Oreochromis niloticus: one gene and its partners. The protein of the gene in region 1 interacts with the protein of each later gene in a pairwise test. Links are inferred from orthologs where the notes say so. Each region holds a gene or a part of one and is shown on either strand. Other genes may lie near its edges. The genes, in order: trim32, ptcd2, CAP-Gly domain-containing linker protein 4 and ubiquitin-conjugating enzyme E2 variant 1.

What was found.
Region 2: the proteins of trim32 (region 1) and ptcd2 interact in binary tests that used the Homo sapiens proteins (3 or more experiments, as listed by UniProt). The two-hybrid records come from large-scale screens. The link is inferred for Oreochromis niloticus from reciprocal best matches to the Homo sapiens genes TRIM32 and PTCD2.
Region 3: the proteins of trim32 (region 1) and CAP-Gly domain-containing linker protein 4 interact in binary tests that used the Homo sapiens proteins (3 or more experiments, as listed by UniProt). The two-hybrid records come from large-scale screens. The link is inferred for Oreochromis niloticus from reciprocal best matches to the Homo sapiens genes TRIM32 and CLIP4.
Region 4: the proteins of trim32 (region 1) and ubiquitin-conjugating enzyme E2 variant 1 interact in binary tests that used the Homo sapiens proteins (3 or more experiments, as listed by UniProt). The link is inferred for Oreochromis niloticus from reciprocal best matches to the Homo sapiens genes TRIM32 and UBE2V1.

What each region holds. Positions count from the first base shown.
Region 1 is NC_031972.2:19,941,857-19,949,749, forward strand, and holds the start of trim32 (E3 ubiquitin-protein ligase TRIM32), read right to left. Parts: upstream 3,013-7,893; 5' UTR 2,866-3,012; intron 2,332-2,865; 5' UTR 2,320-2,331; coding exon 283-2,319; 3' UTR 1-282. Other genes in the region: astn2 (astrotactin-2), read left to right, coding at 6,637-6,959. UniProt on the Homo sapiens protein: E3 ubiquitin ligase that plays a role in various biological processes including neural stem cell differentiation, innate immunity, inflammatory resonse and autophagy.
Region 2 is NC_031972.2:15,726,722-15,734,261, forward strand, and holds the start of ptcd2 (pentatricopeptide repeat-containing protein 2, mitochondrial), read left to right. Parts: upstream 1-4,525; 5' UTR 4,526-4,554; coding exon 4,555-4,684; intron 4,685-5,058; coding exon 5,059-5,151; intron 5,152-5,236; coding exon 5,237-5,366; intron 5,367-5,462; coding exon 5,463-5,580; intron 5,581-5,683; coding exon 5,684-5,762; intron 5,763-5,869; coding exon 5,870-5,961; intron 5,962-6,058; coding exon 6,059-6,172; intron 6,173-6,267; coding exon 6,268-6,342; intron 6,343-6,428; coding exon 6,429-6,542; intron 6,543-6,841; coding exon 6,842-7,063; 3' UTR 7,064-7,540. UniProt on the Homo sapiens protein: Involved in mitochondrial RNA maturation and mitochondrial respiratory chain function.
Region 3 is NC_031983.2:24,619,707-24,627,578, reverse strand, and holds the start of CAP-Gly domain-containing linker protein 4, read left to right. Parts: upstream 1-4,864; 5' UTR 4,865-5,332; coding exon 5,333-5,372; intron 5,373-5,871; coding exon 5,872-6,018; intron 6,019-7,012; coding exon 7,013-7,152; intron 7,153-7,643; coding exon 7,644-7,737; intron 7,738-7,872.
Region 4 is NC_031984.2:9,991,355-9,998,940, forward strand, and holds the start of ubiquitin-conjugating enzyme E2 variant 1, read right to left. Parts: upstream 3,005-7,586; 5' UTR 2,898-3,004; coding exon 2,876-2,897; intron 1,885-2,875; coding exon 1,736-1,884; intron 784-1,735; coding exon 658-783; intron 1-657. UniProt on the Homo sapiens protein: Has no ubiquitin ligase activity on its own. The UBE2V1-UBE2N heterodimer catalyzes the synthesis of non-canonical poly-ubiquitin chains that are linked through Lys-63.

The DNA of each region.
Region 1 (7,893 bases):
GTGTATGTGGCCCACAATGTAAAATGAGATTGACATCCCTGCATTATAAGAAACGGATTCAACTTGAGTTACTCAAGATAAAACCCAGTAGACTATAACCTGAACCTGAATTGAATTGACTGAACTACTGATTTAATAACCCAAATGAGAGCTACAGTGAGAACTGACTGGACTGCAGCTAAATTAAAGAGTGTTAAATAAGAGTATGTTTCTTCCTTTTCCAAACTTCTTTACTTCAAGACTTACTCTGATGCTCATGTGCAATTACACTTTGTTGTTCTTCTAAGAAGTAGAGGAATGCCTCCTCTGAATGTATGTGTAGACTTTAACACAGTGGTCCCAACAATCCAGCACTAGCAGCTGTCCTTTCTGGGTAGTGGCCACTCCCACAGGACAGGTCAGCCCTTCCTGGATTAAAATATTGTATCCACCTTCTTTTGGAAACTGGAGGATTTCTTTCCTGCCACTGTCTGTAACCAGCAAATCTCCATTGGAATCCACACACATGCCAGTGATACAGCGGAAGTCTTCCGTCTCCGAGAAGAAATGGCTGAGTTGTTTGCCAAGCTGGCCATCAGTACCCACCGAGCCAATGGAAAAGCCACCCTCCAGGTGGGGCTCATTCTGGCGTTTCTCAAAGTTCAGGGCCAAGCCCTGGGTAAAATAAACCGTTCCAGCTGCATCACATGTCACAAACTTTGGCCGTACAGCAGAGCATAGTCTGTTGTAGCTGACCACACCTACGTTGCGGTCCACCGCTATACACCACAGCTTGCCACCTTCGACATCTGACACCACAAACTGGCCTGATGGCATGGCAGTAATACCCCAGGGTTTAATCAGTTGGTTCTTGTGGCAGGCCACACAGTGTCCATCCATGGTGTAAACTTTAACTGAGTTATCATAGTTGTCAGTGACACCAATCAAGCCTTGTGCAGTCACAGCAATAGATAAGGGGATGAGGTTAGGCAAATCAGCCCCCAGGAAGCTCAGGACAAAGTTGTCAATGCTACTAGCGCTGCGCCGAATTTCACGTTGGAAGCCTTTGCGATTAAAAATCTGGATACGGAAGTTCCCACGATCAGCCACCAGTACCTCACCTTGAGGGGTCACACAGATGCTGACAGGCAGATTGAAACTCCCAGGTAGAGTTCCCTTGGAGCCCATCTTCTTCACAAACTGGCAGACTGGGGGCCCTGAACTTGCCCGCGCCGTTCCAGGTGAACCTCCTCCTGCATCCATAGACTTTGATTTAAAGCTGCTTGGAGAACCACACACTGCCTCCTCCACAGCTGCAACCATGTCAATGTCTCGGTAAAGATCCACTGGAGCCACCACTTCACCTCCTGTAGCTCCCGCCCCCTCTACATCACTTTCAAGTGCAATTTCTAACCCACTCTCCTCATCATCTGTATTGATAGTGTAAGTTCTTGTGGTCAGCTGGCCCACTTCTAGAGGTTTAGACTGCTCTGTTCTGATCAGCTCTGGCTGTTGCAGTTGAAAGGTTGTGGGTAAACTGCTCCTCAGATCCAGTTCCTCGTCATCACTGTCTCCGCCATCATCTTTTAGCAGGGCAATGTCACTTTGTCTTGCTCGCATTGTCAGATAATCACAGCGTGACACCACTTTGACCTCTGCAATGTTAAGAAGATACGTCTGCTCCTCCAGGACCTGCGCATTGAGCTTTTCTACTTCTGCCATGGAAGTCCTGAATGTCCTTCGAGACCTGCTGAGCTCCTCTTGAAGACGTAGCTCAGCTGTAGTGTAGTCCTGCTGTATTGTTCGGTACTTTAGTCTCAAGGACTTGGAAATGTTTTCAATTACTGTCTTTTTCTTCTGAATTTCTCCTATAACATCACGGAGAGCCTCCAGTTTACCACCCAGGTCCTTACGACGCTGTTCAGCAGCCACCCTTATCGGCTGGACTGAATGTCCTTCATGCAGGTGGCCCTCTCCTTTGCAGAGCTCACAGAGAACCGAGGCACAATCATGACAGTACTGTCGCGGCAGGCGATTGCAGCAGGATTTGCACATTAGGGCGGCGGCGGCAGCACTGCAGGACATAGTGCAATCGAGAATCTTGAGCACAGTGAGATTGTCGGCCAACTGGGAGATGCTGCTCATACGGGAGACCTTGCTACAAAAGGGGCAGCGGACACCATTGATAGTATTGGCCAACAGCTTCTCCAGACACTGCCGGCACACTGTGTGACCACACTGCAGGAGCTTGGGTCTCATTTGTTCCTGGTTGTAGGTTTCCAGGCAGATAGGGCATTCGAGAACCTCCCTCATTAGATCTGGGTCAAGAGCAGCTGCCATTGTGGTCCTCACCTTAAATGGAAGAAATGAAAAGTTCTGTAACACTGTGCCACACTGTGTAACACAGAAGCAGACGAAACTAACAGATATTCAAAAAATAAACACAGGATGCAGCCACGCTTATTTGCCAGGTCAAGTTTAAGGAAGATGCTAGATAACAGAGCAGATTAGATCAACATTAACGGTTAGGTAGACACAGTTCAATGACGAGGAGCTACTGAAAACCGACATATGGTGAGTGATGGCGTGTATCAGCAAGCTAAGAGACACACCGTGTCATGCTAATGACAAACGGGAGTACTAGGTTATAACCTACACCAAAATAATGCTAACTTGTTGTTTTACAGTAGGTTGACACTGCAGTCCAGACTTACAAACGAAAAGTAAACCGTAGGCCTCACCACAATACGACAAATGCCCTTAGCCCTGCACATAAACAGCAGTGTTATTCAACGACAGTACTGACTTTGAAGGGCGTGCATTCAAACGTAAGAAAGGCGACTCATCGTAAGAGTCTCTCGAGGCATTTCTGCTTTGAAACATTACCTTCACTTCACTGTTTTGCTGGTTGAAAGTGCAGCGCTGTTGTGGGGCGTTCTGTATCTTTCTGCTATGCAGCTGCTAGTAAAGACTGCAGTGCTGACGACGTCACGTACACACAACCGGGATGTTACGCAATACGCACAGAGGCGAGCCCTACGGTTGTTTTGATTGGCTGCCGTTTAGTAAACGGAGAGTGCAGTTTTTCAGGGTTACTAGAGCTGTGTTTTTCATGACAGCGCCACCTAGTGACTTGGATGACCTCAGAAATTCCCAAAAGGAATGCAACTCTATACCAAATGTTTGTTTGTTTTTTATACAAAATTCTATTGATTTGGTAAGATTGGTATATGCAGTGAATAAACACAGAGGCAAAAAGCAAGAGTAAGCATTGCATGTTTAGGTGTGATATAAATGCAATTAGATGCATTCATAAAATAAGATAAGATAAGATAAGATAAGATAAGATAAGATAACCTTTATTAGTCCCACACGTGGGAAATTTGTTTTGTTACATCAGAAAGTGGACAGTGCAAAGTTATATAGCAAAATTAGAGAACACTTGAATAGAATAAGAATAAGATACTGTACACAACTGTACAGAATAGAGTAGAATAAAATAAAATACTATATCCAATAGAATAAAATAAAATAATATATACTCACCACTTTCACTAGGTCCAGAGGGCATCCTAGAACAGAGCTGGCGCTGCGGATCAGCCTGTTCAGTCTCTTCCTGTCCCCGGCAGAGATGTTGCCACCCCAGCAGACCACACCATAAAAGATGGCTGAGGCCACCACAGAGTCATAGAAGGTCTTCAGGAGTGGGCCCTTCACTCCAAAAGACCTGAGAACCATATGTGTCCTCCCAGCAACTTGTTAATTCAACAGTAAAATGCAATAAACACAATAAAATTATTGCAATGTCATTTTAGCAGAATATCCTTCTCCATTAAAGCTATCCCCTTTTAAGTTAGATAACTGGTTAACTTGTAACCAAGTAACCAAACTTGTAGCTGAGAAAACTATTCTCCCATAGCATACCTGAAGCAGTGTTCACAAGCTTTGTTTTTAAAAGAAGGCAGTAATTACACAGAGTGACCACTTGATGTCAGAATAGGTCTACTTAGAATGTTCACACGATACAGATATCAGCTACAAAATTAAAACCACTGACAGGTGAAGTGAATACCACTGGTAACCCAGTTACAGCACAATGTTCTGGGTCCCGGCATTCATGTGGATTACTCTGACATGTGCCACCATTGTTGCAGACAAAACAGCACTGGCTTGCCCCATAGGTCATGTCCCACCTATTCTGCAGAAATGCCGACCAGCTAAGGCAACATGAGTCTGTGATTTTGACCTGGTCTGCAAACTCTCCTGATACCAGTCAAACATCAATGGGATATGCAGGAACAAGCCTGGAGGAGGCCCCACCCCACAACCCATAGGACCCATCAGATTAGCTGCCAGTGTCTGGTGCTAGACATCACACCACACTGCTGAAAACTCCCATGTCAGTGCCCCAGTGGGTGAGAGCTGTTGTGTCAGCTGCAGAGTTGCAACACTGAGCTCGTGGCTTTAATGTTGGAGCTGATGATGTAATTTACTTTAACAGGACTATCTAAAAATGGCCCACTTTAAGATATATCCTAAGATATACTTAATATTTCTTTTAGCCTACTATCATCAGAGCCGTAATTGTTGTGCTGCACTTTTTTCACTATATTAGTTAAAAGAAATGTATATAATTCACAAGATCTGTACTTAAAGCAGGGACCTGTTAAAATCACTAGTTAGTATGGACCTGTTACAGTTGTCTTACTAAAGAAATAACATCATCCACTCATAGTGAGTGTATCTGTATCTAATTGCCTTAGAAAGATACCTGACTCTGTTGCTGTTGTTGCGTGGGCAACATCACTCTGGCCAAAGGGGATGGGTCCCTGTTGACTTAATTATGATGCAACCAGTCTACAAAGAGATTTTAATTAACAAAGACAGATCAAGATTAATAGCAAGTAACCTCACCACATTTATCTCTTTACAGTGTTTTGGTGACAGGCAAGTCTTGCACAAGCATCACATCTATTCCACACAGTAAAGAGCTGTCACAGCTAAAGAGGCAACAAGCTGGGTCACTCCTTAAACTGCGATTTTGGGGTAATTTCCCTAAATGTGTGTGGAGTGTACTTTATACAGCACAAATAAGCAGGCTCACAGACATAGGTGCACAATGCTTAGGTGATATGGGATTTATTGTGGGAGCTGGTTGACAACATCTCTTTTCATTGTCTGTGCTTCCTTGTGAAGTGAGTGTAATTGGGCTCATGGGCCACCCATTGAGCCTGTTTGCATTGTGTTTCAAATGAAGTTACCACCCACCTTTAAAGTGTCATCTAGGTGGACACAGGGAATAAGTCACAAAGACACACAAAGTTTTCTTTGACACACAGACTTACGGAACAAGTAATGGCTACCTGACATGAAATACAGCTTAGATTTAATAACTAAACATTGAGCACAGATGGTTATTTTAGAGCCACTTTTTAATATTATCCTGGAAGAATCCACTCTGGTATATTTGTCTAAACCCAGTATTCTTTTTGGATAAGACACTTAATTGTTGCAACAACTTTGTTGTCAAATTTTTACTTACCTCGATTTTTAATTGAAACGATCATGGAAATGCCACATAAATGTAATGCAAATTAGAATAGTTAGAAAATGTTTGTTTTGTATTTGCAGATAAATATTTCCCATTTTTTATAAGATACCTGCTATCTTCTTTTATGCATTGCATGCTGTAAATTTGTTATTTGATGCCTGCAGTTTTAATTTCTGCAAAGCTAATTCTTAATAAGCTAATTGGCCTAACTGAACATGCAATGAAGAGGAAGTAAGTGTGAGTATAGAGCAGGATTTTGCACACTGCTGTTTTTGTACATGTGTAGAGGCTGATCTTTTAATTTACGCTGATAAAAACTGATTTGTTTTCAGTAATATGCGTCTGATTTTGCATATTTCTCATTGTGTTTTCTCCACAGTTTGTTACACAGCGAGACAGTGCATTATATTTAATTGTTATATCATGAAAGAAGCTTTGGTGCACTCTTTTTTATTGTTTTAGAAAAAATATATTATCACTTAGTTGGAAAACTCGCATTTCTTTGGAAAGTAAACGGAAACAAAAGCACATCTGCCACATCAGCACAGATGGCAGATGTGCTCCACTGAAACATGTGGCTTGCTGTGTCCTCCAAATCAATCACTCAACACCCGATTAGCAATCTCTCTCCTCCCCTGTTTCTTTCACTTCCTCTTCTTTCCATGGGGTGTGTTATTTTCCTGGTTAAGGAGGAAATGATGAAAAAGAATCTCCCCAAACTCCAGTGAGGACATCAAAAAGTGGTAATTGACACTTATGAGAAGAAACCAGGCACATCCCCTCCCCCCTTCTTGTATCCCCTAGCCATTCCTCTTTTGTCTATGACAGCTGATGGTCGTAAGGGATTAGGTTTTTTGTTTTTTTTCTTTCAAGTAAATCCAGATGGTGATATTCTATGCAACTAATCTTCTTCTTTTCCAAGCAAACAGAGTTAAGAAAAAGGGGATTGTCTTTATAATTATGAAAGCGTACATACAAAAAATGAAAGAATCTGACACTGTGGCATCAATCATTTAAAGTAAATCAATCTTGCGCTTAATTGTTTATCTCCTTCCTTTGACCAATGCCCCATATAACACCCCTTTCTCCCCCGAAAACCCCTCCAGAGGCAACAGAGCAGGGTATTGGTGGAGGTGGGCGTCGTGAGCTGAAGTCACTTCCCTTCATCAGCTACCTGTCGGCGCTGCAGAAGAGCCAGCTTTTATCTGATGACATGGTGAATGGCGTGGAGATCCGCTGCGAAGAAAAGGGCAGCTGTCCAGCTGGCTGCCACCTATGCCATCACCAGGCCATGATGGGCGGAGTATCGGGAAGAGGCCGCAGTGGTAACGGCAGGACTGGTGAACAGCCTTCCCCCATCCCTGTTCTGCTGGAAGTCAGCCGCGTCGTGCCCCTTTACAGCTTGGTCCAAGACAACATCACCAAAGAGGTGAGAAAGCAGCGTGGGAGTATAGGAAGCTCTGTGTCTGTGTGCCAGCTTACTTGCACATGCATGTGTGCAAAGGGAAAAGGGACAGATGAGAATGTGAACTGTCAACCTAATTAAGAGGTGTGATGCTACTCAAAGCAAAAGCAATCCGCATACAGGAATAAACTTTCACAACTTTATTGAAACATCAGATGTTTTTTTTTTTTTAATGAAATGCTCAATTTTATCATTAATAGCGCAATAGATAGATAGATAGATAGATAGATAGATAGATAGATAGATATGCACATCTGTCTTCACATCTTTACACTGCTGGTGGTTTGTGCTGACAAGCTGGCAGCTAAATACTGCACCACTGGGCATTCAGTTAATGGTGATGTAATCAAACTTTCTAACTGTACATATTTGTTGTCGTCTGAAGCGTTTAACTGATGCAGTTATAAGAATTCAACTCTAGGTGGCATTGGTTGGTTGACTTTGACTGCTGGAAACGAATATTGTAATACAGAGGGACTAAAAAGGATGACATCATGGTTTTCTCTTGTGGGGAAGTCGATGTGTATATGTGTGGGATATGCGCGCCCGTGTCTAAACAAGTATATACAGCCGAATGTAATATCAGCTTAATTGCCACGTGCTGCTCTATGATTCATCCCATTTGAGATGTCTTTGGATCTTTTTGCAGAGAAAGTTAATCATATCACGTTTCCTTTCCATAAGCAAATTTACTAATGGGGTCTGGCTAAATATTAGACCATATTTTCTCTGTTTGGTCATTCAGCACTTTTATCTTTTTGATACCTAAGTTTTGACAACTTTGTCTTCTCAGTGTGAGTAAACAAGATTTCAGGTAACGTCCACCTAAGACATGTGCATGCATATATACAGAGAAGTTTAGCTCATGCTTTACCCTTATAAAGCATTCAGCAATCAA
Region 2 (7,540 bases), about 4.2 Mb from region 1:
GTGATCTCTATTTATTTTTAAATCAAATGCCCAGTATGCCTTGGTTTAGCCAACCAAACTAAGAGCACCTGTATTTGTATCTGTTGGTACTATATCTATAATTAGAAATCTGTCACTGGCTACATAGAAACTCCTCGACACTATCTGTTCATTTTCAGTCATGTGGCAGGGATTGTTGGCTGTAAAGTGAAATTGTGGCCGAAGGGAAATTACTTCGTTTAGCCTCCTTGCCAACAAATGTCCCTGAAAGTCAGAATTGAGGAGAGATTTATGTTCCCACAGAGATTTACAGAGTGGACTGGAAGCTCCATTTAGGTAGTCTAAGGGGATGTGATGAGGCTAAAATAACTAAGAGTGAGTGCTTTAATACAATCTGTAGGGGTATTAATATAATCTTGTAAATGTGTTTTAAGCTTTGGTTTATATACTGCCAATAGATTCTATACTTCATATTTTCATGCTTTTTTTTTGTATTACTGATATGATTTGATGACCAGATTAATCTACATGACATTTTATTACATTCAAAATGAATTATGCTAGTTTTTCTTACCGTCACATGTCATATTTTTCCAAAGTTGTGTTAGATGTTTGTTACCAATTAGTAAACATTATCATGCTAATGTGCCAAATAAAAAAAATGAGCATGGTTAGCCCATACATTTTGTGGATTAGCATTGGTATTATTCAGCTCAAAGCACAGCCGTGACCAAAAGGCTTGAAGATACAAGTCATTAGCTACTTTTGATCGATCACTTTGTTGAAACAATACATGCATAATTAATGAGAATCTGTCAAACTGTAAAAGAAATATGTACTTAAAAACTAATTAACTAATTGTGCACAGTAAAAGTTTTTGATGGATAAAAAAGTATAACGTTAGTGTAAAATTGTCTGAAATGCATTCTAGTTATTCTGACATTGGCATCTCATTTCCAGCGAAGCAATACAAAAACATGAATTACATAATTAATGCATAATATGCATATGCTTTGTTGTTTGTTGGAAGATACTTAAACAGATGCTAACAAACCAATGCCACTCCAAAGAAAAAGTGAAGGAAATTAAACGGTGTGTGGCCCACAGCGGATTTAAAGATAAAAACAAAAATATATGGATAGATTGATAGCTACACAGAGAACAAGAAATGTGTCACAAGAATATGGAAAATGAAAAAGTAAAAGGTAGAAAGGAGATGCAGCATGAACTAAACACAAGAGCCTTTCAGATCTGATGCCCCAGAGGTACTGGCTGAGAAAGAACAGATCACCAAGAAGGAACACAGCAGATCAAGTTGATAGGAAACATCTTCACCATTCAGAGTCATTTTGTTGTGCAGTGGGAGACCACAGCTTCATATGTTTGATGTCTCAGAGCAAGTGAACACTGAGCTTGCAAGCCAAGCTTTCAGGGCTTTTAGCTAATATACAGCACTCTAGTAAACTGAAAGCCTTTTTTCTTTTTTAATGTATGCATATTTCCTTAAACCTACTAATTTATAAGTTATGCAAATAAGGGAGAATCCCTACTGTTTCTTCAAACTCTAAGCACAGCCATGCGCCCTTAAGATCAGCCTGCAATCAGTGTAATCATAAGGTATTCTACAGATGAAGAAAAGCTGTTTAACTGTGGCTTTATACGTCTAACACAACCAGTCTCTCACAGTAATCATTGCCAGCTGTTTTTCTTTTTTTTTCTGTTCCAAAACTGTCTCAGTGGGGACATTTATTAATGATGATGGGGCACCCCAGGCAATTTCCAAAACTAAAGGGAAGTGCACGCAGGGATAAATCAAAGAAGATGTAAGTGCTGTGATCTGTCAGCTGAACCTGGCCATTTGTCAAGGGAAATCAGAGTCTGAGTGCTAAAATAGAACCCCTACAAACAGTGCTGTGCTCCCTGTCGATTATTGCATCATTCCAGCAACTTTGCACAAGCTGCCATCACACTGATCACTCACCCTGTGGCTATAGATAAGCAACACAGGTTTTAAAGTATGTGAAAACAGCCATATGCTGTTATAAAAACAGAAAGAGGGAGAGAAGGAGAGGGAGAGAAGGAGAAACCCATAGAGACACATGCACCTTGCAGGAAACCATAAATTATCCAAGGCCCCGTGTCTGATTGGCTGAGCAAGCAATCTGAGCTGGATGGGCTGAGTTCATGTTGCCAAGGCAACTGTGGGGGATCCTCCCAGTCCCAGCCCTATTTTCTCTGTGCAAGACTATCCATCTTAGGAGTTCATTTAAGAAAATACCTTAATTATAGGAATGAATTTTTCAAAACTTTAAACTTACACTGCTTTGCGAAATGGTTTCAGACTGAAAAATTGCTTCATCTATGGCTGCCCACTGCCTTCAGGGAGAAACCACCTAAACATTCAAACCTGTAGGAAATGAGAAAAAAGACAGTGGAAAAACTGCTGCATACTGTGTTCCATTTAGGAATTGCTTTGCTGCTAATAAACAATTTGTATATTTTTCTTTTACTGTAGTAGTCTGTCTGAATTTTAACATTTTTGACATTTTTCTTACAACCCTGCCATGACCAAGATAAAAAAAAAAAACGCATGCAAAGGCATGATTATGTAATACCATGCGGGTCAATAGGTACACTAACTAGCAGCAGAGTTTGGCACTTACTGCATGTTAAAGTAATGTTCCTTTAAAGTAATTATAGGAATTCATTCATAGCCCATATTGTCTTTTTTTTCTGTATGACATGAAATTGGCATACAATTTTGGATTGATTTTGGATTTTATAATGTAAATTATGGATCTATTACACAAATTGTATTATCTTATCTTATCTTGTCTTATTATAAGTGCAAAATATGATTTGGCGTGATATAGGTGTTTGCTCATTAGAGAACATTGTGTTAGTTTTTGATTCACCTTTTAAAAATATAGACATAGAGGAGCCCAAAGTGACAAGGGGATCTGAAATGATAGCTTGAAACAGAAGAAAACATTTTTCAGAGGAGGTGAATTTATCTTAGCACTGTAAATGTCAAACAGGCCCGGAAATGACTTAAATATAAATATAAATGCATTGTTTGTTCAATAACAAATATTACCCCAAAGACTGCTAGTAAACTTCTACCGCTCCACCATCGAGAGCCTTCTGACTTACTGCTGCACACTCTGGTTCAACTGCTGCACCGCGGAGGATAAGTGGAAACTGCAGCGGGTGGTGAGGGCAGCAGAGCGTGCAATCGGCACTTCACTAACCCCCCTCAGAGACATCTATACAGGCAGACATCAGCAGAAAGCCAGCATCATCATCAAAGACCCCCCGCACCCTGGACACTCACTTTTCCCCCCTTCCCTCTGGTAAACGTTACAGGTCCATCAGGTCAAAGACAAACAGACTCAACAGAAGTTTTTACCCACAGGCTGTCAAACATGCCCTACCTCCACCCTGATTGGAGGATAACTGCACTGCCAACACTCATGGACATTACACCTTATTTATAAATCGTATTTCTATTTATACTTCAATGCAACCAACACCCCTGCCTCTTTAAACTGTATTTATTATAACCTTATTTAGTACAGTTGGAACAGCACCCCCCCCCCCCCCATTCAATGTGTAATATCACCCCCCACACACACTCAATGTGCAACATCACTGATCACACTGCACCTCTCAATGCACCTGCTAGTTAGATGGCATGTATGTGTATGTATATAGATGTAAGTGTGTATGTGGAAATATGTGTGTGTATGTATGTACCAATGCATATATGTATATATACATATATCTATGTATGTGCATGTATACTTGCAGGTGTATGTATAACTTCTACATATCTTTCTCGTGTAAATTTAAATTTGTCTGTTATTGTGTAAATACTTACGCTATTGTGTACTTCACACACATGGAGAAATGCCAAACTGCCTTTCATTGTTCTTGTAACAGTGACAATAAAAAGCTATTCTATTCTATTACAGTAAACAGCAATATAGTAACAAAGAATAATACCATATGAGTGTAAGCTCATATCTGACTTTCTTAGTCCCTGCATTTTACATTATTAAAATGTGTATATTATACCTCACTGTGTGGGTACAGTACAAACACTGTAGCTGCTCCAAGCAATGACGCCAAACCAGAAATGTTCTGTAGCACAACAGCACCACCTGCTGGTTAACAGATAAACACATTTTCCTGTTTGATGCCGTTTTGTTGAGTAATAAAATTTCGCGTGGCCTTTCTGGAAACCACGATTCAAAGAATATAGTTAAAGCTTCGTTTTAAATGACGATCACATTATTTCTGATGTATAATGAAAAATCTGTTCTCCTTCGACCTGCTTAAAAAAACTGAGCCGGGTCATTAAGCGGTGCCATTTTGGATCATACCAACTGGAAATACCACATTACGGAATTAAAAATAATAACTAATTATATTTTTCAGATTAAATAAAATATTGACATTTTTAAGTGTTTTATTTTAATATGGCTTAATTCCCAGGGCGGAAATTGTTTTGTTTTTTTTAATTTAAAACCTTGCTTTATTATTACCAATAACATCCCCTTTGATTTCATTGCCATGGTACAGCCTGTGGGAGATATGGCGCTGGGCAGACTTGGTAAATGTTGTCGGTCGTTATTATATGAGCCCTCTAAAGGAGTTTTTTACGGTGTTTTACAGATAGGCTGGATTGAAGGCTGCATAGGAGGTAAGACAAACAAAAGTCGCCAACAAATGTTGTCACTCTTTAAAAGGTAGTATGAAAACTGCGTGGTTTGCATAGCGGGGGCAGCTAGCACCCTGTAAAGCAGGCACACGTGAATTAAAGCAAGGTACAGCTGCTAATGGGGATACTGAACTTGAAATAAAGTCCACCAGAATTTGGATTTAAAAGCTTAACTGTTGCCACTGTTGTTCTCTTTGGCTATGTGAGTATTGTGCAAGTTATTCTATGCAAGGCTACCTTATCACAGGGACTCGTGAGGGCTTTCTTCTCGTATAGTTGTTATTTTTGCCCGTATATAATTGCCATGTAGTGGTAACTGATTATGGATTCAACCACGCATTTTAACCACCCTACAGCTAAAAGGCATCTGTTGTCGGAAGATGTTATCAAGCTACAAGACTTCCAGCAAAGGAAGCTGGCAGTGGCTCACCATGTCAGTGGATCGGAAGGTGAAGTAGTTATTCTTGTCACTGGCACAGTTCTGCAAATTTATGTCGTATAAAACTTACTTTTTGTGTAAACCTAACTTTACAGGGAATTATATTAACCTATTCAGTCAGAAGCTGCAAAGGAATGAGCTGATATTGCGGGATGAGTTGAAGCTTCTCCTTCACCTGTGCCAGTCAGCAGATGACATGCAGATAGCCAGAGATGCCATCTACAGGTAAGCGTGCAGCATTCACTTACAGGGATTTTTGTTAATGACCAAAAAACAACCCAGCCAAACCTCACTCACCCATTGCTGGCTTGCTCTCATAAGGTATCACACAGAGAACCGTAACTTGTTGTATGGAGACTTCAAATTTGGTCCTCTCTTCATGAGACTGTGCTATGAGTTGGGTCTGGAGAGCATGGCTTTTGCTACAATCACGGATAAGGTGAACTGTACAACATCCAGACTTCAGTTTTACAACAATAACTAGACTGGGCATATACTTCAGTGTTTGACTAATAACATTTTATTTTGTCCTGTCTGAACAGAGCATGAAAGGATTTTTCCACGACACCACCTCCTTTAATATAGCGATAGACATGTTGTTCATGAAAGGCTCCTTTGAAAGTAAGTGACAGGTTAACTCTCCTGTGGTTTTTTTTTTTGGGGGGGGGGGGTTTCTCCCACAGTGATTATGATATTTATATAATAATGCAAACTTTTAACTATTGCAGATGCTTTGGAGGTTCTAAGAACCATGAGGAGCCAAGGCATACCATTCAACAAAGACACTCTCACGTTAGCAGCTGGTACCTGCTATAAGCTGGTAATGTTTCAGATATTTTAATCTTTTATTTTCATTTAACATTACAACCTTATTTATTCTTATATTTGGACTGATGCCCTGTTTTTGTGTTGGTCAGAATACGGCAGAGACCTACCGGATCTGCATCGCGCTCATAGAAGAGGAACAGACCAGAGGGCAGTTCATCCCGAGGCATACTTACTGCTTCGCTGTAGCACTAGCACTTCGAAGAGTGAGTTTTACATTCAGTACCTCTTATGCTTGAAGAGAGATGTAGCACATATTTAAAGCATCATTTATTTTATTTTCTGTGTGTGTGTTTTCCAGGGTGACCTAGAAAAGGCTCAGTCATTATTTTCACAAATTATGAGCACCGACAGCAGATTATGCCAAAATTTTAAGGTAAAGGTGCAGCATGTAAAATGTAATGTGCATTACTTCTTGCATTAGTTCTTCCTGTCATTCTGTGTAATTTGTTTGTTCTTTAGGTACTAATATTAACAATGTCTGGAGCGTTGGCAGAGGCTATTTCTATACTTTCTGCAGCCATGTTGCCAGAAAGTCCATCTTTTGTAAAAAAGCCAGAGTTTTCTCAGGAGGTGGTAAGTGAAACACAGCTACAGCTACTTAAAACTAGCACAGCTGCCAGGAGATTGGTTAGGGTTACATAACTGTTGTTAGTGTAAATGCTTATGTACAAGATGAGTGGTGCATTTAAAGTTCTACACTTTTTTTTTTCTGCGATAAACATTGGAAAAATCTATTCCAAAGGAATTTTGATGTATCCTTGTGCTGTTATTATTAATCTGAGCTACTCTGAGGAAATGTTACTCACATTGTTGATTCAAGCTTCAGAGAAAAATCATCTGCCCGAGAGTTGACTTGGTGTCATCCCTTTCAGGTGGATTTGCTACGTTTGCGGAGTCAGGGCAGGCCACACATGATAAAAATGGAGCAGGTAGTGACTCAACTTGAAAGAGACGGTCAGGTGACTCAGCAGACGCTCGATGACATGCTGTGTCGCACGCCCACAGGGAAGAGGAAACCAGCGCCAATAGGACTGGAGAGGAGAACTAGCCGGAGAACTCTAAAGCCTCTACAGTCCACTTTACTGTCAGAGTGAGGCCAGAGTGGGCCATTTAAACACTCTGACATTTCCCAGAGTTGACTTTGATGCTATAAAAGCACTCATATGATATTTAAGGGCCCTGAACAGCAGCCTATTAAAACGTGCTTGTCCTCGCCAATGCAGATACAACAGCCCATAGCATTGCACCTAAAGAAGCAAAATTGCCAAGAGGAAAGTTTATTTTTCTACTACATCAGCATCATTGACAGAGCCTATGCCATCTTCAATAAAGAACACTTTAATATTTTATGTTAAATGTGTTTAAAATAAATTCACAGTACCTGTGCAAACTCTCAGACTAATGAATTATTATGTGAAGGCACAAAGCAACACTGTTGTGAAAAGGTAGGTTGCCATCTTTAATGCTGAGTCATTTGACAGTTAATGCATATGACTCAGGACTATCGTTAGCTACCAAGAAATCAGAAACGGGGACAGGTTTATTTGTAAGGCTCGTTTGGAGGTCATAAG
Region 3 (7,872 bases), on another chromosome or scaffold:
TCTTCCCTGCTTCCCATTGAGAACCAGTACTCTAAAGTAAATCAAATCAAGACTAGCCTGTTTAAAAATCTGCAGTAATGTTGCCTCACTATACATTCATATTGTGCTTATAGTCGGTTTTTCCCATAATTCTATACTTTAAAGAGTTGGTATGACCATCAACACAGAAAAAAATAAACACAAATTAAAAACCATTGTGTTCTTGTGTTCTCATCTCATCAACCTGTAGTTTAAGTATCTTTTTAGTGTTACTTCCAAGTGAGTTCAGCTGTGTCTTGTTTCCTTTACGTTTCCTGTGTGTATTTGAAGCCTCAGGTTGCTCGTCATACTGTGTTCCAGCCTTGGTTTCTCCTGGCGTGTTTCCCCTGCAGTGGTCTCTTTTGTTTTTGCCCTTTCCTATTTTATGCTCTGGATCTACAACAGCCACACGAAAGGCTTGCTTTTTGTTTATTCCAAGTCCGTCTCAGCAGTCTGCAATTTGGTCCTCTTCTTTATTTCATGACAGAGGCAGCAACACATGCAGAGTGCTCTTCAGGTTCAATAAACACCAGCACCTGAATCTTCACTAAAAGTGGCTTGTCAGTCTGAATGGACATTGGAGGAAAAGTGTCACCCTGAGAAATTACCTTCTCCTGAAAAGAAAGATGTTCAGACACAACTTCCCACACTGTGACCGCCAATGATAAGAGAGGCATTAGACTGAAAAGTGACCTCTTGCACCATCCATCTTTGTGGCAGCTTACTTTTTCTTTTTAAAAGTAAGAGGTTTGTTGTATTCGGAGGTTGGGTGCTTCAGAATAAAGCAGTGCATCAACAAAATGGGTATCCTTTTCCTATACAGCGGAACAGAGCATTTATTTTAGTTGAGCAATTATGAATTCTGTAATGAAAACATGAAATGGACTTAACAGTCATGAAAGTGCTTCCATAAGAAACTAAAGCACTGGGTTTAAACAGTGCTATTTTAATTACATAAAGTAATCATAAAGTAATATACAGTCTTTTCTCTTTTGTCGACTCGCCTACAGTTTCTTGCCCAACAAAAACAGAAAAACAAAATTCAAAATTTCTGTAACCAAAATAGTACAGTGCAATTTATGTATTTCGAGGTATTTTCCTTCAGCAGGTTCTGGTATTCAGCTGTTGATTATTTTCATTAGTATGTGGCAAACAATCCCAGAATTGAAGGAACTTTCAGGCCAGCTAAAATAATGCCTTTTTGTAGGTTTGCCACTTTATATTATGTAACTGGATGGCAGAAAAAAAACCCCTAACTTTATTAGTGGATTGTTGCTCAAACCAGAAAAGAATAAATTTAACATTTATTCATTCAATAAATAAATGAATAATAAATACATAAAATGAACATGTGTCTTTAATGGCATGTTTATATGTTTACATGAAGCAAATGATGTCAAGATATTGCAGGTTAGTTTCTTTTATTGTCTTTCGGGTTTTTTTAATTTTCAAAAACAATTCAAAAGTTATTTAGTTGTATTTATTTCTTATTTTATTTTTATGGGTCGTTGTAATACTTTTATTTTAAAAACCGGAAGTTTACATTAACCGCCTTTATTCTGAAGCCTAGATGTTGAAACAGGAAGTATTTCAGCTGTGCAACATCCAATTAGAATGGACGGAAATTAAATCCGCTACCTGACATTTTCCCCATGGGCGGATCAAAACAAGCAGGGAGGTGAAGGTAACGCTAATATTAAGCAGCCTAACATGATGCTTGTGTCTCTCTCTGCTCGCTAAGTGCATTGTAAGTAGCTCAGATGTTTTTGGCCCAGTGTTCGTGTTGGGGAACATTAACGTCAGGGAGCTAAGGTGACTGAGAGGAGGGCTCTGAGTAACTTTCACGTCTGCACGGTGAAAGCAGGGACTGCTAGCTGCTTATAGGGACTGAGCAATGTCTGCAGTGTTAGTTATATAAGGTGTGCTTCATCTGTCGCTAAGCCCGAGCCGGTTTTTGAACATATGCTAGCAAGCTAACTGTTACTGTCAGCTTGTAGCCCGATTAAAAACACTTTTAGCTGACAAAGTTATTTGGAAATTAATTAAATCAACGTGTGGACGTTTGAAAAGATGACATGCTATATTTACCTCTGCTGAAGGGCTACAAAAGTATGAGATGAGGAGGGAGTGTCTACTGCTAGGGGGATGGCCTCTTCGACTGTGAAGTTGGCTAACGATTTGGGGGATATAAATGAATCAGCCACACTTAAGTCACACAAACTGGTATAAACAACCACAAATAAGCCATCTCTCCAATAATTGGATGTTAGATAATAAGTTGCATAACTTTTCTCAAGCTGATTAAAGCTCAAGCGACCGAGTGTGGTCATTTAGGACTTAAAGTATTCCTGTCTAAAATATAACTTTTAATGGCTTTATTGTTGTTTGAGTGCATACCTGCTTCCGATTAGAGTAACAGGAACCTCTATCTTGCATAATCAAGCTAATCCACGCACCCCACCTCACATCAGCAAACAAATGCAGGGGGTAATAGTTCATGATTTGGCCTGGTGCATGAGGCGCATAGGATGGATGGAGGTCAAGGATGCTGCCTGTGAACAAACGTTTTGGATATGTTGTTACCACTAAACATTTAATCTTTATAGAAAAATCCAATTAAATTTATTGATGCCATTTTTTGTGTGTGGAATATCTCAATAAAAATACACATACATATAATTTTTATTTCAATTTCAACATCCTAGCTGTAAAATTATTCTTTCTACTTATGGCCTTCAAATATGCTAGTGCACGAAATGCTATCAATTTTCAAGAAAATTCAGGGTGTTTTTTGAAGCTCCATGCTCCTGACGTTATAGTCATTATGAGCTTAATGATGTAATTCAAATAGTTTTCTAGATATAGCATGGAACTTAAAAAGATCAACATACATTACAGTCAGCCAGAATGGGTAGCTTGCCAATGGGTGCTTAAATGGCCACAGTCATCAAAAATATGCGAGTGCTGTCTCTTCGGTAGCTGTGGGAATGGTGACATCATGTAGGTCAGGCAAACAAGAAGAGGCTTATTCTAGAAGTAGGCCATTGTCTCAAGTCATACTGCAAAGACCTAATCTCTACACAGCCAGTCAGTGACCTCAGAGAGGTTGGTAGTAGTTTTTCATCTCACTCTTTATTAGCATGAACTATGGAAATTACAGTCACTGCTAAAGCATACATCTATATACAAATGTTCTGTTTGCAACAATGAAATTACAGAAATGGAGAAGAAATTATCAACAGTTACATGTTGATGGCAGACACTCTCTTTCTCTTCAAACATGCACATTCACTCTCCTGAGAGGTGTGCTGTTAAGAAAGGTCATTGCTTTCTTTGCATTAGCTTGGTAAATCCTAAATTCTTGGTCAAAGATAATTTCAGTTTTTTCTGTAACCCAGACTTTCTGACTCAGTCTCAGTGAATGCTCACAAAAATAGAGTAATTAATTTGCCATTTCACTCTTCTTTTGCACAAAATGGGCCATTTAAGTGCTACCCACTTGAGTCCGAGCAATTCTATGTAATAAAAAAAGACTAAAGAAATGATCATCAAAAAAAGAAAATGATAAAAAGCAACATTGGTTTTGCAAATATGGCAAGCGAGTAATTCTGCAGAAAATAATTTATTCTTTTGAGTTAATACACGAATGTTAGCACTCACTACAGGCTTTTATTTATTTATTATTTCTCAAGTTTTTTTAAACATTAAATGAGTGTGACATTGCTCCATAGACACACTTATTAATTTTCTGCATCACCTGCTGACTATTTGAAGCACACAGTTTGTGTTGCTCTAACGTCACAGCTTCCTTTAATGGTAATGTAAAAATGCAAATCAACAGGTTGTATGTATAAAACACATTTATTTCTTTTTAAAATAGTCTGTGAGTGCCACAATTTCATTGATTGTTTTAGTTTTCACCTTAATAGGAATACTAATTCTGTTCTGAAGAAAAACGTGTTATACATGAAACCTGTTGAGTCTTCTGGTACTGCCAAGTCTGCTTCACACTGCTGTGAATAAAATACTACAAAATTCAATCAGTAAAATTAATTTTACTTAGATCTGACTGCGCTAAAGTGCATGTTAGAGAATTTTTAGATGTTAGATGTTATATTTTTTATTTTTTTTTACTGACTTCTATCCCCTGTTCCTCTGATACTTTTTGACTGAAGTAGGTAGCACTTGATCTGTCAACTTTGTGCAGAAGATGGGTGAAATGACACATCAAACGCCCTTTTTTTATAAATGTTTGAGCACTCTCAGAGGCTGAAGCAGAAGCCTGGGATAACAGAGAACATTGATGACTCCTGTCTTGATATGAGTTATCTGAATTTGCTTGTTAGTACATTGTTTCAGTTATGTGTAATTCATCCAGGTTAAAAGAAAGCATCTTTGTGACTCGGAAAGTTGAGGCTAAAGTTTTCAAACTTCCTGAAAAATAATTAGTCTTTTGTCAGACCTTCACCTCAGCATGCTGTTGGAAAATCAGACTGTGAAGTGAAGTGCCACAAGCTAATCAAAAAAAGGGCGCTTCAGTTTCAGGGCTCTTCTGGAGCAAATGCGGGTCCACTTATCAAATATCGTGGTTCGGTTAAGCACTTAAAGAGAATAGAGTGGTTAATATTATTAAGCCCCTTTTCTTATGAAATATGAGTTTTTTTCTTGAAATATTTCTACAAATATCTTGCAAATTTGCTCAAATACTTTTTTTTTAAGAAATTGCTTTTATTTGATAATACAACCCTATTGTGACAGTGAGGTTTTTTTTCTCCTTTACACCAAATGGATGGAGGTCAGGGTGTAGAGTCAGCTACCCTCTCTCTGGGGCTGATAGGTATTCTGTGTCTGTCCTATGGTTGCTTCAGTAGGGCTGATGTTTGCTGTCCGGGGGAAATGGATACTGGGCTTTGTGGTGAACGACAGGCCTTCTAATCAAAGCCACCACTTCCCTCCTGTTTGTTTGCGCTATCAGCCTACAGGCCACATTCCCTCCACTAGGGGTTACGCTTGGCTACTCTATGTCAGTGAGGTCAGAGGTTCACAGGACTGGAAAGTGAGAGTGACATTCCAGCCGGGAGAGTCAGATATACAAGCTCCTTGGCTTGAAAGTGTACAGGCTGTAAATAGCTGCTGGACCTGGGAGTCAGGGGATCAACAGGGTATAATCAGAGAGAGTGGGGGTGTTATTGGAGATTGAGGAGGGGGGCAGTCAATGAGCTTTGGAGTTATTTTGGGAAGGATTTTGGTTAGATGTTCTACTGGACCCAGTCTGTGTCTTTTGATTTTAGCTTAGCACGACTGGGAGGCTCACATGGAGATCAACAAGAAAGAGGATAAAGGAGAAGATGACAGTGAGTGAGGGTTGGTTGGGAAGATTTTAGGCTCAATGTTGCTTTCCCAGGCTTACACCTGTGTGTGGGTGTGTGTGTATGCTTCTAGTTCAGCCTCCAAGGTTCCTTTGTGAAAGCTTCCTGTGTCCGCATTACAGTGTCACTTTTTTGAGATTAGGCTCGTAGTTTGGTGTGTTCACCAAAAACCTTTCTTTGTTTTCTAATCTGCTGGCAAAGGAATCTCTCAAAGGTGCTATGAGTCAAATGCTGACATTCTTTGAAAAGCCCTGTCTTGTTGGGGTGATAGCTTGAATGCGCCTTCCCCCTATATTCTTCAGGCGACACCACAGATTAAAATACCATGTTTTTTATATTATGTTAGTTCTGTGCATACAAGTTACATTTCCCTGTATTGCACTGCCAGATCAAATGAAAACATCGCTGTAGCTAGCCTGTGTGCTTTTATTGAGAGATTAGACCTACTTGTGTTCTCAGAATAGGCTTTCTAATATTGTTCCAGCCGCAGGCCCTGAGGGGGAGATGACAAAGGAGGATGTTTCAGAGCCTGTTGAAGGCGACACGGTCCTGGGCTGCCGCGCTAGACTCTCTTCTCATCAGCGGCCAGTGATCCACCAGGTGGCCTCTGCACCCATGCCCAGTGACTGTGGTGAGTATTCACGCTCTCACTGTGCAGCTATGTGACATTTCAGGCTAGTTAACGCTTTCTCTTTGCAGCATCGACAGGCTGTGAAATGCCACAAGATATGAGACTGAAGAAAGGTTGATGGCTTAAATTGACACAGAGCGATGATGGTGATAGAGAGTCTCTGGGTTCTAATAATGTAGCTGGATATGTTAGTTACACTTTGACATTGTTCTTTTGTAGTGATTTATTTTTAAACAAGAACGTTGTGACTGTTATCGTCTATATCTTGAATTACCTAATTAATCGTAAAGCCATTTCAGCAGGTTTGATGCTGATTTGCTTTAATGTCCTTAAATACTTGGATGTGGTCACAATTTTTTTTAAAAGTTGGTACTGACTCTGCATTTTAAGAAAGTTTGATTTCTTTAAGAAATTACTGTGTTGATTTGGTGCTAGGTTTTTGAGGTGAACAGAAGTCAAGTAACACTTGACTGTTCAATTACTTCTAAGTTGAGTGATGTAATTTACAGTCTAATTTTTATATGTTTAATGCCTTTTTTCCCCAAGACCCTCTTAAAGTTGAATCTTTAATCAAAGTATTTCATTTCAGATTTGCTGTAGTTGCGTACAGAGATAAAATTATGAAAAATTTCATGCCCAAATACTTACGGACTTAGCCGACTACAGTTAGTGTTAACTTTTGGCCTTTCACAGTGAAAGCCATTTACCTTCAGCCCCAGCCGGGTCATCTAATGCCTCATTTGGTTCACGGCATGCCATCTACTGTCACATCTGTTTTCATTTGCCTCTGCAAGGGCAGCAAGGGCATTTCCCAAGATTAGTAATTTGCTGAATCGATTGAACAGTCAGTTGCAGAAACGTCTGCAATAAACGTCTGTGCTGCAGAGTTTCACACATGCTCTCTTCATGTCTGTACACGGGAGAGAAATATTTCCGGTCCCACTCCTCATTATACTTAACATGTGTCACTTTCGTTCCTCTTCATTGCTTCCAGAGTTCTCCTTCTTTGACCCCAGTGAGCCGCAATGCAGGGAGGTTCTGTTGGATCCCAGCACCACCATACCAGAGCTGTTTGCTGTCCTCAGGCAGTGGGTGCCCCAGGTTCAGAAGAACATTGACCTCATCGGCAATGAGGTGACATTAAAAAATGTCCAGCTGCTGCGGAATTTCACAGCGGTCCCTTCTGTAGCTGTAATGCTTTTATTTTTGTCATAATATAATCAACTGAAACTTCAGAGGACTTCAGATTAATATAAGTTCTGATTTATTTTTTTTCATTGTTATGGACTCTGTTCAGATACACACCAAATCCCTTCTGCCCGTGTTACACAAAGTAGCTGCATTGCAGTAAACTGTGCAGAGAAGCACTCATCTCAAGGGTAAAAGAAGGCGATCATTTTCTCTGAGTAACTATCACCCTTGAGAAATAAATACCTTGTTTCAATGTCAGTTTACGTAACACCTGTTGTCCAGATTTAAAGATGAGTAGAGTTATGAAAGCCTTGAATTACTTGTCATTCATCACACAATTTCCCCCTAATTTCATTTTAACCTGTTATGGAAGATTTCTGCACGCCAACACCAAGTCCTTAGTGGCACATACTGCATATCTTTTCTTTGCACAGATCCTAAAGAGAGGCTGTGCTGTGAATGATCGAGACGGTCTGACAGATATGAGCCTCCTGCACTACTGCTGCAAGGCCGGAGCCCCAGGCATTGGTAAGTATTGACAGAGGTGGTGAATAAGCACTCTCAGCTGCAGGGTAGAAATAAACAGACATCTACTCTGACGTATGTGTGTGTTAATTTATGTGACCACTCTACTGCTGAACATTATTCTGTATACCTCAGTAA
Region 4 (7,586 bases), on another chromosome or scaffold:
TAAAATAAAAGGTTTGAGTAGCAAGTGGGTGTTTACAGGTAGAGCAGTGTGCCTGAGATGACCATATTAGACAATAATCACCTCTTTCGGAGATTATACAGCATTAAAAGTGAAAAAAAAAAGTCTTAAAGTGGGTTTTTAAATAAGAATGAAGGCTGAACTGGCCCTCATCTTTTTTCCTAACTTGCATGGTGCTCATGTAAGTTAGGAAGAAAGATCCCACATTACCAATTTTTTGAGATCTTAAAAAAAAAAAAAAAACTCTTGGAAAAACCTAAAACATCTGAATAAAGATCTAGATGTACATAATGTAAATCATCTATTATTCTCTTGTTCCATGGATACAATGGCCGTCTTCTAAACATGATGATATGAACTCATAACCAGACAGAACTGCAGAGCTCGACCATTTGGGACTTTTAAGGAGTAAATAAAATCTTATATTGATATTTCAGCCAATATTCTAACAGTAAGTGAGAGTATTAAACAATAAGATGATAAGAAACATCATATATCCTGACATATCAGTGATAGGCCAGTTTAAGCTAGTTGATCAGTTGTTTATCTGACTCCACAGAGCAGATATGATGCTCCTTCCACAGAGTGCATCCAAAATGAGCCAATCATTTTAAAAATAATGATAAATAATTCACATACCACACCGTTGGAGGTGTGCACGCCATTCAAGTTTATCTTTGTCACAAATCTGACAAAAGGTGGTGATTCTGGGTATCCTGGCCCGCATTCAACCTTCAGATTGTACATCCTGTTTTCATAGCTTGTCTGTTAAACAAAGAAAGGTAGGGAGAGGTGAGAAGACAGCACACCAAACTTTGAAGAACAAAAAAAAAAAAAAATTGGTACACAATGTTCACTATGTGCAACAACATCATGTGAAAACTAAGGCAGGAAATACCCTTGTAGGGTTTTTTTCTCCTGACTCACAAAGGCCCTGGGGAGAGTTTAAAGAGTCTGCGGTACCTTGTTTTTACACAAATCTGTGCCTTTTGCTTTAATCTAATCAACAAAAATGTCTGCTAGAATTAACATAACTGCTAATTTTATTACAATTTTTGGCTCTGGCCAAAACATTTGGTGGTATGCCAAAATTTTTTTATGCTCCCTGCATACAGGCTGTAACTGTGACAGCACTGCTGCAGTTTTACCCAGTCGCACAGTAAATGAATACACTGTAGAGGAAGACAAACTGGCTGACCCAGCTGCAGTCTGACATACGGTAATGTCCATGGTCCTGTGAAAGAGGTCCTCAAAGGACTGCAGTCATTAATTTAAAAACAACATTTTTAAATAACAGTCTCATATAGGTCATTTCAACTTTACAGCTTAGCACTGAGCAATTTTTAAAGTATTTATAAATACCTATAATTACAAACTAACTAAAAAGATACTGGGACATCTGTCAACAATTAAAAACAACATTATGCTGCAAACTTGTGCGATAATTGGTCTTTAGTCAGGAGTTTAATTGTGCTTCTGCTTCACATTTATTCTGTTTTAATTCAAAAACAATCATTCGAAGGATTGCAAAGTAGTGTTAGTGCCTCGATGTTTTCCTCTTCTTCAAGTGGACGACCTGACTTGCTCCCCGACATCATGCGATGCACAAATCAAACCTGACACCTTTGGTTTAAGTAACTGTTAATCTTTTGGCTTGGTCAACACTCCCCTGCTCCTGCAAAGTACTCATCCAGGTGTTAAAAATGGCACCACTAACCCTTGGGGGGCCAAGGATCACCCCTCTCCATCGTGTTAAGGTCATGTCCTCATCATCCTCCAAGCCCCAGCTCACCGTTCCATCTCCCACACCTTTCTGACCTTCCTCCAGCTCTTCCAGGAGCCGGAAATTGCGAGGAACTTTAACGCCTGTTTGTGGGCAAACACACAGCCATTCAGTCATGCAAACTTCCAGAGCCACAGGTAGATTTATGAAGCTAAATAAAACTGCCAGCAGTGTGCCAGACAAAATGACTTGCAGTTATGAAGTTATGACTCAATAAGACCGAAAAAAAATAAGGGACGCCTCAGCTTTGCAGCCTGCGTGAGCCTTTTGATAAGAGCAGGTGTTATTTTCACGTCCTGTGAGACTTGAGCATCTGGCTCCGGCGGTGCCGCATCACTTGGCCTCCGCAGTAAGATACGACGAGGCTGCACCCTTAAGAGAGCCATCCAAACAAACCCAGTCACACTGCCAGCTGCTGCAGCAATTCAGCTCAGCTCACCGGCGTCTCCAGAGAAGCTCAGTGAAGCTCAGCGCAGGTCATGTTTCCCTCATGAGCTCTCGGAAAACGTACAGTCACTGTTTACGTTTAACAGCCGGGCAGGAAGACCGTCTTACTGCGGGATGCACCCGCATTTCTTGATGACATTTAAGTAACGCTACACACCCGGTTTGCAACACATCGCGCCTGTAAATAATCTGATGTCGCAAACAGGCTGTCATTATCCGGTGGGGTGGCGGTGCTGTGGTTTGACAACAGGATGCTGTAATTTAAGCAGCATCCTAAATTAAACTATTAAAATTAAAATGTATAAATGAATACACAAATACATAAACAAGTTGCAATGTCTCATATTTGCTGATGGCTGGCGAGTAACGGCTCCACGCCCATAAAACAGCACTGAAGTGAGACCTGCTGTCCTTTTATCTAACTTAAGATAGCTTAGCTACTAGCATCGCTTCCTATTCATTCTCCTCAGCTTTGTTTTAGCTTCTATGTAATAACACAACATAGCACAGCGTCTGAATGCAGAATCAATCTAATCATAAAACCTAACAGGCACGCGGTAAAAATTCATTGACAACACTGTTCAAAAATAGCTTTTCGCAGTGATTAATACGTCTCAACCGTTTTACCTGATCCGGCGGCGACCGCCATCTTGTCGCTACACAGCGGGAGCGAGCACGCACTTTTACCATTGTAGCCAGCGGTGCGTGCGCGAGCAAGAAGACAGCAACGGCGCTTCCTTTGTTGCTTTAAGCAAACTGATTAGCTATGTGGCTGTATAAAACGGAACTGTTATTATTATTAGTAGTAGTAGTAGTAGTAGTAGTATTGCTGTTGTTGTTGTTGTTATTATTATTGTTGTTGTTGTTGTTGTTGTTGTCGTCAGAGTAGCAGATTAATTTACAGATAATCTAACCTGGCATACTTTCCAAGGCAGGTCACTATATTAAATGATTTAATTCTGTCAGAGCATCAAAAAATGTTGTGCTTATTTTAATAGTCATTTCATTAAAGAGAGATATTATTAACTGCCCTTTTGCTCCAGGGGTTTTTAAATCAGCCAGTTCTAAAGGCACGAGTATTTGTCCAGAATTTTGTCTTTACGGTATATCTTTCAATCATCTTTCTTCAAATGTAGCATGTAATTCTCTCCTAGTTCTATTCACATTGCATGATAAATCAGTATACATGTAATTTAGGTCCGAGTTTTGTGCTTCTGCAGAAATTGTGGAAATCCAGCAAGACTGAGGAGGAGGATGGGCCTCTGGTCATTCATCAGCATGTGCATCTACTTTTAGGTAGGTAGGGTAGGTATAGGTATCATGCATGTGCATCTACATCTACTGATGTGAAACCATTTTACAGCACCCTCAGCTCCATGGGGAATGAAAAATTAAGGTATTTCTGAAGGCTAAGGCCACAATTAAACACAATTAAAATAACAAAGATGGGGGAGCGTCAATATATTAGAAGAAAAAGATTGCTGTGAGAGATTAAAGAATGAAACCCTTAATTAGCAAGGATAGATTAAAGCATGCCAAGTTTGATTAGGTCATTCACTGACTGACTGCAGGCTTATTACATAGCAAGTAAGCTGTGGAGTCCAGTGTCAAAAGGTTGACCTAAGCTTGCAAATTAAAGGAAGAGATGTTCTTGACTCAGAAACAGTATTTCTCTGTGTGAAAACGCCCTGTGATGTCAGAGGTTAGAGGAGAATGGCCAGGTTGCTTTGAGCTGATAGGAAACTAAGTCAAACAACCGCTTGATACAACCAACCCACAACACGTCAAACTTTGAAGCAGAAAATACTCCAGGTGCCACTCCTGTCAGCTAAGAACAGGAAACTGTGGCTACAATTCACACGGGCTCACCAAAACTAGAAAACAGAAGAATGGAAAAAGAATTTGCCTGATCTAGTGTCTTGATTTCCTGCTGTCACATTCAAATGGCAGGGTCAGAATTTGGTAGAAACGGCTTTCAAGCATGAAAGCATGGATCCATTCGGCCTTGTCTCAACACTTCAGACTTGTGATGTTTATGTAATGGTGTGACGAATATTTTCTTGGTACCCTTTGGACCCTTTAGAGCCAAATGAGCATCTTTAAAATACCACAGTCTGCCTCATTATTGTTGCTAACCATGTCCTTCCCTTTTTGACCACATTGTACCTATCATCTGATGTCGGTTTTCCAGCAGTATAAAGCACAAAGCTCACAATATCTCAAACTGGTTTCTTGAACATGACAGTGAGTTCACTGTTCTCAAATGGCTTCAACAGACACCAGATCTCACAGAGAGTACCTTTGGGATGTGGTGGAACATCATGGATATGCAGCCAACAAACCTACAGCAACTGTGTGACGCTGTTATGTCAGTATCAGCTGTTACGAAAATCTGAAATAAAACAAGTTATCTCTGTGAGATCTTAATTTGCCTTGGCAAAGTTCTCAGAAAACAGTACAGAGTACAGCAGCTGTCCAGTGTCATCACATCCCCCCCTTTTGATCATTTATTGATCACAAGTATTCATAGGGCAGCGCAGTGGTTAGCACTGTTACCTCACAGCAAGAAGGTCCTGAGTTTGACTCCACAGCAGCCTGTCTGTGTGGAGTCTGAATGCAGCTGGGTTAACTGATGATTCTAAATTGTCCATAGGTGTGAGTGTGAATGGTTGTCTGTCTCTCTGTGTTAGCTCTGCGATACACTGGCGACCTGTCCAGAGTGTACCCTGTCATCAATTAACCCAGCCTAACTGACATGACAGCATCACACAGTTGCTGTAGGTTTGTTGGCTGCATATTGTGAGATTATTATACTGTTTTATGCCACCTTACACTTCTAATCAAAGAACTGTTGAATCATTATACGGCTATAGGCCACATTATGCCTTGGATTAAAGACTGTGAAATCATTACACTGTTTTATGATGCATTATACTGCTGAGTTATAAGAAATGCTGTTTGTGTCGAATCATGGCTTTCCTTTTCTGATTACAAAGAGAACAGAACATATTGTAGAGGTTTTCTGCCCCATCTCATCAGGAGATAAAACAGGAAGCCAAGGTCGTCACTTAGGCGCTGTAAGAGAGAAAGAATGTGAATGCTTAGTGCGAGAGATTGTTGGTTGAGCATTTATACACCGAGTGTTGTTCTTCCTTCAGCCCAAAGATCAAAGAATTGGGATATCAAACAATATCCATGATGTTCCACCACATCCCAAAGGTACTCTCTGTGAGATCTGGTGTCTGTGGAAGCCATTTGAGAACAGTGAACTCATTGTCATTTTCTAGAAACCAGTTTGAGATATTGTGAGCTTTGTGCTTTATACTGCTGGAAAACCAACATGAGATGATGGATACAATGTGGTCATGAAGGGAAGGACATGGTTAGCAACAATAATGAGGCAGACTGTGGTATTTTAAAGATGCCAATTTGGCTCTAAAGGGTCCAAAGGGTACCAAGAAAATATTCGTCACACCATTACATAAACATCACAAGTCTGAAGTGTTGAGACAAGGCAGAATGGATCCATGCTTTCATGCTTGAAAGCTGTTTCTACCAAATTCTGACCCTGCCATTTGAATGTGACAGCAGGAAATCAAGACACTAGATCAGGCACATTCTTTTTCCATTCTTCTGTTTTCCAGTTTTGGTGAGTCTGTGTGAACTGTAGCCACAGTTTCCTGATCTTAACTGACAGTAGTGGCACCTGGAGTAGTTTCTGCTTCAAAGTTTGACGTGTTGTGCGTTGGTTGTATAAAGCGGTTGTTTGACTTAGTTTCCTACCAGCTCAAAGCAGTCTGGCCACTCTCCTCTAACCTCTGAGATAACAGGGCATTTTCACACAGAGAATTGCAGCTCTGCAAAGATATTCTCTCTTTTTCAGATGGTTCTCCGTGACCTCTCGAGATGGTTGTGCAGGAAAATCCCAGTAGATCAGCAGTTTCTGAAATACTCAGCCCATCAGGCATCAGCATTTAAATCACCTTTCTTTTCCATTTTGGTGCTTGGTTTGAACTTCAGCACATGTCTACACACTTAAATAGATTTGTCTTTGTACCATGTGATTGGTTAATATTTGCATTAACAAGCAGCAGAACAGGTGTCCCTAATGAAATGACTGCTGAATGCTTTTGTTATTGTGGATTCTCCTCAATATGGTGTAGTCGAACTGAGTGCGGAATAATTTGTCTGTTCTGCTTGAACAGGATTAACTGAATAAGTAAATTTAAAGTGTTTGTTTTATTTGGAATAAACAGAAGCCTGGAATGTAACATGACAGCTGCATCTGTGAGAAGCACATCGATTAGCAGTAAATGTGTCGAGGGCCAGGCTCCGGGTACAGACAGGGTCATTAATTATTAATACGCTTTTCATAGTGGATGTTTTAACCACTGACACAAGTACCTGTAGTAGCAGCAGAAGACCATCAGATGCTGGCGATTACTGTACCTTTTCTGCAAAAAGCTATGGTGAAAAAGTCTTTACTTAGGCAAATATAAACACAATCAAGCAGGTTATTTTACCCTTTAATGCTAAAGTGTATCATGTTTGATATGTGAGTTTTTGCGAGTTTTAGAGACTTCTATATCATCGGTGTGATTTTTTTCCCCATGTAAAAAACTAAATAAATTGCACTATACATTTTAAAGAATAAATTGCAAAAAGATTTGCTAATATAATTCAAATTAAAACTTGTATATGCAAATTAGCTTTTTAAAATTTCATCACAAGGTTAAAAAAAATAGAATTATGTATGAGAAGGTGGTGTTCTGTGTACCCTGTGAAATCGTCACCTAAATTCCTAAAACAGATTAAATTATACACTTTTTAATAATAATAATAATAATAATGATAATAATAATGATGATAACAGAAAGAAAGAGAAACACAGAAATATGTTTATTAGTTTATTTATAAATACAGTATATTATTTACACTGTAAGTCCTCCAACTGGAAGACAACAAAAAGGCATCAAGGCATTAATCTGATATCTAGAACTCCATCCCCACCACCGGTGTACATAACCAACAACAACAACAACATCCACATGGACCTTACCTCAGAAGAAGCAAGAGTCAAATGAAGAGCAATTTAAAGTCAGTCAATAAACTCTTTTCCCACATTGTTGGCAAGAGGATAAGGCGATTCAATAAAGTCCGAGGAGAGATTCTAACTGCCCATCTCACTTACTAACATCTTCATTTGCTCTCACTAAATTTTTCAGGTGTGAAAAAAAAATACTTAATTGACCACATACTGTCGCAAAACACCGTTCAAATCCACTGAAAGTTCACTGTCTCTAAGCGGAAAATCCAAATACAGCTCGATCACAAATTC